2 linked regions of the Bombyx mori genome follow. The protein of the gene in region 1 purifies or fractionates together with the protein of each later gene. This does not show direct contact. Links are inferred from orthologs where the notes say so. Each region holds a gene or a part of one and is shown on either strand. Other genes may lie near its edges.

Region 1 (3,567 bases):
CATAAGGACCGTGAGTGGAAGAGAGAGCGAAATACTCGCTTCACTGCTCCGATTATCTATAACCCAAACTGCACGGACAAAATAATTCTACTATAGTTCAACTGTTTTTAAATTTTGAGAATAAAAATTGCTGTCGAATTACTGTCCTTATTTTAATGTTAACAAATAGATCAGCCACGTATGACGCCATAGTTAATGTTCAGTTTGACGTAAAAAAAACCATTTTGGTTATTACATTATTTTGTGAAATACATTTTCATTTGATCAATTTGATCAAGACACCTCCAGACTGGTAATCATTGTTGATGGTCTAAAAGTAATTATAGAATTCAGGCTGCCTAGATTTGTCTTAACAAGTACTGTTCATGGAACATGTTTTTAATAGTTGAGTCTTTAGTTTGGATTCATGGTTTAATAATTAGGTAGATACCTCCGTCTGGTGATCGTTGTTGATGGTCTATTAAGTAATTATAGGATTCAGGCTCCCTAGATTTGTCTAGACAAGTACTGTTCACGGAACATGTTTTAGTTTGGATTCAGATGGGCTATATTAACCCGATATAGCTTTGTAGTTAAAGCCCATAAACATGTACCACGACGAGAATGTCATTCTCCTTGAGACATGAGATCAAATTCTAAGCTCGGAGAAGTGATTCTTGGATTGGACAGAAACAGGTACTGTACAAACTGAGACCTTAGAACTATTATCTAGAACTATTATATCAAGGTAGGTGACGGCATTTACGTTGTAAATGTTTATAGGCTCGGGTAACCACTTAACATCAGATGGGCTATGAGCTCGTCCACACACCTATGCAATAAATAAATAAAAAGGTACAACAGAGGCCCATGTGGCCTGAGCCTACACTACTGTATAGCTACAAAAAAGTGTACCGGAGTACTCACGTGTGGTCCAGCATCTCGGGGCTCATATACCTCTTGGTCCCCTGGCGAGGGTTGTGCAGCTGCTGGCCCTGCTCGATGTGCTGCGCGGTGAGGGCGAGCCCGAGGTCTCCGATGCAACACTCCCCATTCACCTTGACCAGGATGTTCTTGGACTTGATGTCCCGGTGTGCTATCGCAGGTTTACCCTGGAAATATTTTTTTTATTTTTTTTATTGCCCTTGTAAACAGACGAGCATTCAGCCCACCCAATGGTGAGTGGTTACCGTCGCCCATGGACTTCAGCAATGCTAGGGGCAGACCTAGCCGTTGCCTGCTGCCGCTTTTTATCATCATCATCAGGATCTTCATAAATTCCATTCAGATTAGACCAGCCATTTGCAGTGTAATAAATTATGCTTGGTTGTTCTCTATTCAAGCACACTATGTCAATAAATTTTGTTCTCTTTGGATAATATCATTGCTGAGGTTTCCCGTGAAAAAACTCCCAGTCTTATTGTATTCTATTCCCCATTCTCAAGGCTTGTGTTACTAATAAGAGAATTGGTTAATGTGAATATGAATTTTGGTTAATTACTACATATTATAATATATCAACACATTGAGTGAGATGATCATTGATTTAATGATTAAATCAATAATTAACTTTTTTTTTAATGCAGAAATCAATTTCAGTTAATAAGTGGCTTTGTCAATTGTATTGGAACTACATCAAACTAACTTTCACCAACAATTTCAAGCTGTTAGCAGCATTACTACAAACTTAATGCGAGTTTTTTAGCGTTCTCGATAGCGTAAAATTAACACAAGTTTGTATGCAGTTGGAACAGCTTCCGTTCGTTTGCCGCTAGGGGCGCTGTTCCAACTCCATACAAACTAGTGATGTTGTTTGTTGTCGTGTGGCCCGGTCACCGTCCTCGTCGAACCCGTCGCTAGCGACGAAGGGCTCGACGAGCGAATTAACCCACAGACACAGCCCACCGAGTTTCTCGCCGGATCTTTTCAGTGGGTCGCGTTTCCGATCCGGTGGTAGATTCTGCGAAGCACTGCTCTTGCTAGAGTTCGTGTTAGCAACACTCCGGTTTGAGCCCCGTGAGCTCACCTACACACGTTAGGGCGAAGCTGAAATAGCCTCTCAAAGCTATCAGCATAGGTAGGTACATATATACTGCAGTCCAACAGATGTCTTAGTCGACTTTTGAAATTGGAGTCTTGTTCGTATTGTAATAAGTGAGGGTCACCTGGGTGCCGTGTATCTGCGTGTGCAGGTGCAGCAGGCCGCTGGCGGCGGACAGGCTGAGCGCGGCGAGCTGCTGGCGGGAGAGCGTGCCGCGCTGCAGGTGCTCGTGCAGCGAGCCCAGCGGGTGGTACTGCGTGATCAGCCACAGCTGGAACCACAAGCGGGGGTGAGGGTTCTGACGTCACCGGACCATGACATATTCAAAGTCTGGAGGTGTGTGGAAGCAGGCGCGCTTTCTGTAGACTACGAGATGGATTGATCAATATTGATGACATTAGTAGGGAATAGTTTGAAAGCGATTGTATCAGGACTAAATTAAAGATCTGGCAGCAAAGGGGGCTGGATGTCATTATTATTTTAGATGCTATGGAAACACTGCTGGGAGAGCGCCTTGTGAGTCCGTAAGGATAGCTACTATCATCTTGCATATTTCTACTGTGAAGCGTTTGAAGATTTCCTTAACAATAACCACTAAACATCAAGTTGACGGTGAGCTCATCCACCCATTTAAGCAATACAAAAAAAACACATTTAACTAAGTCCTTAACTGGAGTTGACTTCGCGTTGTGTAGAATTCTTAGAGCCTCTAATAGGACCAAAGAATATTCATTGGAATATCAATGAAGGTTCATGTTAAATGGGTAATGTTTAGTCTCCACGACGTGAGCCTGGTGCGGACCTGCGTGCAGCTGCCGCGGCTGGTCATGTCGCTGCCCACGTAGGCCAGGATGTTCTGGTGGCGCAGCAGCACGGTGCTGTACACCTCGGTCTCGCGCTTCCAGCTGGCCTCGTCTCGCGAGAAGAAGATCTTGACCGCCACGCTGTCCCCGTACCACGAGCCGCGCCACACCTCGCCGTAGCGGCCCTGGGGACGAGACACGGTTATTATGTTATTATATTTTGAAGTCGTCGTGGCCTAAAGGATAAGACGTCCGGTGCATTCGTATGTAGCGATGCACCGGTGTTCGAATCCCGCAGGCGGGTACCAATTTTTCTAATGAAATACGTACTCAATAAATGTTCACGATTGACTTCCACGGTGAAGGAATAACATCATGTAATAAAAATCAAACCCGCAAATTTTAATTTGCGTAATTACTGGTGGTAGGACCTCTAATGAGTCCGCGCTGGTAGGCACCACCACTCTGCCTATTTCTGCTGTGAAGCAGTTAATGCGTTTCGGTTTGAAGGGTGGGGCAGCCGTTGTAACTATACTTGAGACCTTAGAACTTATATCTCAAGGTGGGTGGCGCATTTAAGTTGTAGATGTCTATGGGCTCCAGTAACCACTTAACACCAGGTGGGCTGTCAGCTCGTCCACCCATCTAACCAATAATTTTTTTTTTTTAAAACTTTACGGTAGACAGCGTCTTGGCTCTGCCCCTGGTATTTCTGACGTCCATGAGCGATAGTAACCACTCACC
Region 2 (4,362 bases), on another chromosome or scaffold:
GCACACTGGCGCGCAGCACAACGTCTGGCAGATGTGTTCTGGAGTCGCTGGCTCCGGGAGTACCTGCCCGACCTGCAGAACCGGCGGGAGCCCCACAGCCGCGGGCCCGCCCTGAAGATAGGCGACGTCGTGATAATAGCAGACGGAACGCTCCCACGGAACACCTGGCCACGTGGGATCATCCAGGAGGTTTACCCGGGGGCCGACGGCATCACTCGAGTGGTCGACGTACGCACCGCCGGCGGTATATTGCGACGCCCGGCAAAGAAGATCATCGTGCTGCCCACGATGACCGCCGCTCACCAAGGAGGATGCAGCGACGTGAACGACGCTGCACGGCGGGAGGATGTTCGCGACGGACATAAAGAAACATAGTTAGAATAAGATATTCCCGAACGGACATAAATGATTGAAAATAGTTAAATAGATATTGTTCGCGATGCACATAGACAGTTGTAAAATAATAGAAAATGTCCGCGATAAATAAATAGAGAATAAATAGATAATACGTTAAAACAGAAATGTCCGTAAATAGATACGCTAGAATAGGAATATGTTCGCAAGTACAGCTAGATTTAATAGAAATAGAGATAGACAGTATGTTAAAAATAGTTAGCATACAAATGTAAATAGAAATAAGTTAATTTGTAAATGTTATTTTGTAAATAAAGATTGGTCCTCGTGGTCTTTAATTTGGCGTGGGAACGCAGGAGCGAGTCACAAAACGGGCAACTAATAGAGCGACTAGGCAAACAATAGGCGAGCGAGGCGGCCGAGAGAACAATAGACGCCCACCGTGCTCGGACTCATAATAGCGCTGGCCGAGTGCGTGTGGGCGACCATAAATAAGGGGCCTACCTCGCTGCAAATTCAGTTCGAGACAGCGAGCCGACGAGTCAAGACCTCTCCAGAAGAAGAGGAGAGCGCCAACCCAAGAAGCAAGAAAAGACTCGCTCCTACGCCCTGCGCCGGTCAAGCCACGAGGACCGTGTGAACGCCATACTGAAGCCTTCGTTATTTCCTCGAACCAATCCCAGCATCCGTTCCGCGACAGCCACTGCGGCAATACTCGAGCCACCACGTTTCAACGAGAGTAAGAAGTCTAAAAATCACACGTGGTGGCCGAAACCTGAGCGGTGGCCGTCCGGAATATAATAAACATGAATATATTAAAATATAAATATATTGAAATGACTTTAAATTTATAAGGTAAATATCTTTCAAATTTAATCTTTATACGTCCAACAGATATCTAGTAAAAAAGATCGAACGAAATTATAAAGGTTCAGTCATTTGCCATTTTTCCCCTACCGAACCCTAAAAATCACATTTACATAGTTCGAATTCCATGAGGTATGTAGCCAGGTAGTAAGACATTGAGTCACTGGTCTCGACCACCACGTTGATGCGAGATTACAATACAATAATAATAATTTACGGAACATTAAAGAAAACTCGCGCCGTTTTTAGACCTGGTTTTGAATTTTTTTAAACGGTAATAATTAGTTATTCTGTATGATCCATGCTATAAACAGGGGAACTGTTCTTAGAAATACACGATCTTTAATTATTTTTTTACGAGTACATTTATGTGGCATTAATATATGCACTAGATAAAATAACAATATGATTATAATATCTGGAAATTTGTTAAGATTCAGTAATATAGTTTTATTGCTGATACTTAACGTGGGTTTCTAATAATTTTACGAACTATGCCATTCGAAGTAAGTACTGCTAGGGCGGCTCGGCATGGCAAGTAAATAAAAAAAAAGGTAAATAAACCATTGCATAGTATTATGTTCACATACCTACGTATATTGTTTTCGTTATTGTAATATGGTGAAAACAAATTTTAATTAACATAAAATAGCAATGAAAACAAAAAATAACTTACTTTTGCTTTGAAAAGTCATAATTAAATCACTTTCATCAATAGCTTGCTGCTCATCACCGCTGAGAGCCATGTCAGAACTACGTGTAGGGCGTGCCTGTTCGTGCTCCTCAGCCAGTTGCTTATAAACGTCCAACAGGAAACTTGGAGCCGAACGATCCAAAGGTGGAGATTTAGATCTTCTGGGTCTTTCTCCTAAGCCTAAAAGATCTAAAATTTCATGTTCTACTACCATGCGCTCGTGTCGTGTAATCGTATGATGAATTATCGTCTGATCAACACCATTGTCAATGTAAAGTCCGGAAAGTATGGCATCGGTGACCACAGTAAACAATGCAAAACACGCACACACCAACTGCACAAAACCAGCCATATTCGTTGTGAGAGCGTCTGCGACTGGCTAGTGGCGAGTTAACGAGATGTGAGACGCGTCATGGCCAGCCGCGGGATCTAGCTGTGGACCTGCCCACTCAAGGTAGGCCGCCGCCGCCTGCTCCGCACTTACCACTGCCTCCCCTCTCACGCCTCACTCACAACGCCGCAATAATAAAAACATTCAACTTCGCCGGACACGTCAGTCTGGTCAGTCCGAACTCCGAATGTTAATAAGTTAATTTAATAATTATTTATTACTACCATTAACAATGCAGTTATGTACTTTAACGGGTGGCGTATTGATTATCAAATCGGGGCAGTAAGTTTGAATTTTTTGTAAATTAATCTCTTTAATACCTTCCCTAATTTAGTTTGGATACCCCAACTACCAAGATTTTTACCACTGAAACTCAGAAGTTGAGTCTCAAATTTCGAACCCGAAAGCAATGTTCGTTGTTATATGAGTAAATTAGACACATTATGCTAATGAACTGACCTCTATCTGTTGTTGAGGAAACAAACATTACTTTTTATCAGTAACGTGACATTAACTTGAAAATAAACTTTATAAAATACTATTTGTTTTCATATAATTTATTCAAAACAACAAAATGACATTTTTTTCATAATATTTACTAAAATTATATTGGTTTTCGTCAATCTTTTCTTTACGTGTTTGTAATATCCATAGTAGCATTTCCACTTCGTTATCACTATTCCGCTTACAATAAGGTATAGAATCGCTTTTAACAACTTTAAATTTAGAATTACAATATCAATAATGATTTACTATTTCACGTACTTTTCCATAAATTTCTTATGGAACTCTGATCTTAATGAGTCATTTATAAAAGTATTAGGTTTCTTTTCCGGTTCAGAACGAGCGCAATTTTTGAAAACAACGTCATCATCCCATCTTCTTTTTACCTGGAACAACCCAAAAAAAATATAGATATAATATTACGATTGTCCTTTTTTTTTATTTGCATAAATGGGTGTACGAGCTCACAGCCCACCTGGTGTTAAGTTGTTATTGCAGCCCATAGACATCTACGACGTAAATGCGCCACCCACCTTGAGATATAAGTTCTCAGGTCTCAAGTATAGTTACAACGGCTGCCCCGCCCTTCAAACCGGAATGCATTACTGCTTCACGGCAGAAATAGGCTAGGGGATGGTACCTACCCGCGCGTACTCACAAGAGATCCTACCACAAGTCGTTACGCAAATTAAAATTTGCAGGTTTGATTTTTATTACACGATGTTATTCCTTCACCGTGGAAGTCAATCGAGAATATTTATTGAGTACGTATTTCATTAGAAAAATTGGTACCCGCCTGGGATTCGAACACCGGTGCATCGCTCAACATGAATGCACCGAATGAGTTATCCTTTAGGCCACGACGACTTCTTAAATTCTTCTTAATCGACCCTCATAGATGAAGGTTGTGACTCTCATAACTCAGTCAGTCTCTCTCTAATGATATCATGTAGAGGCCTAATGACGAGTTGTGCTGAGTGGTGCCTCTGGGCGTTCCAATACCGGATTCATCCAATGCTTGAGCAGATTATGTTAATGTTCTTAAAATCACTTTCAATTACTTTTGCATTTTTGTATGGTATTTATTAGTGGGTGTACAAAATCACAGTCCCTGTGGTGTCAAAACAGCAACCAGTGTTTATAGAACCGAAAATGTAAAATAATGAATCAACCAAAGTCTAAATGAAATTATTTAATAGTCTTGAATCCTCAATATCTGCCGCTACATATGCATAATGAAAGGAAAAATAATTTTTTTGTGCATTATTAAAGTATTCCCTGTGGAGTATCAATGATATTGATTCAAATACAAGTAAACCGAAAACAATAGCAACAATACGTTTTAATAGTTATTTTTATAGCATAGATAGGTGAACAAACTTATGGCCAACCTGGTATAAAAGGGTTATCTGGTAGTTGTCAGTATACTTCACCAATGAGATATCAAAACAGATACTGATTGAATATTATTTGCACATGTTTCAATACACATCATATTATTATCATATGGCAAGGATATCTAAAATACCAATACACAACAAAAGCTCTGAAT

What was found.
Region 2: the proteins of activin receptor type-1 (region 1) and protein 60A purify together in Drosophila melanogaster (affinity purification with western blotting, with the first as the bait; 3 studies listed by BioGRID). This does not show direct contact. The link is inferred for Bombyx mori from reciprocal best matches to the Drosophila melanogaster genes sax and gbb.

What each region holds. Positions count from the first base shown.
Region 1 is NC_085126.1:11,570,972-11,574,538, forward strand, and holds part of activin receptor type-1, read right to left. Parts: intron 3,009-3,567; coding exon 2,823-3,008; intron 2,292-2,822; coding exon 2,145-2,291; intron 1,092-2,144; coding exon 907-1,091; intron 1-906.
Region 2 is NC_085110.1:8,226,267-8,230,628, forward strand, and holds the start of protein 60A, read right to left. Parts: upstream 2,842-4,362; 5' UTR 2,268-2,841; coding exon 1,898-2,267; intron 1-1,897. Other genes in the region: protein CWC15 homolog, read right to left, coding at 3,059-3,196. UniProt on the Drosophila melanogaster protein: Required for the growth of imaginal tissues and for patterning of the adult wing.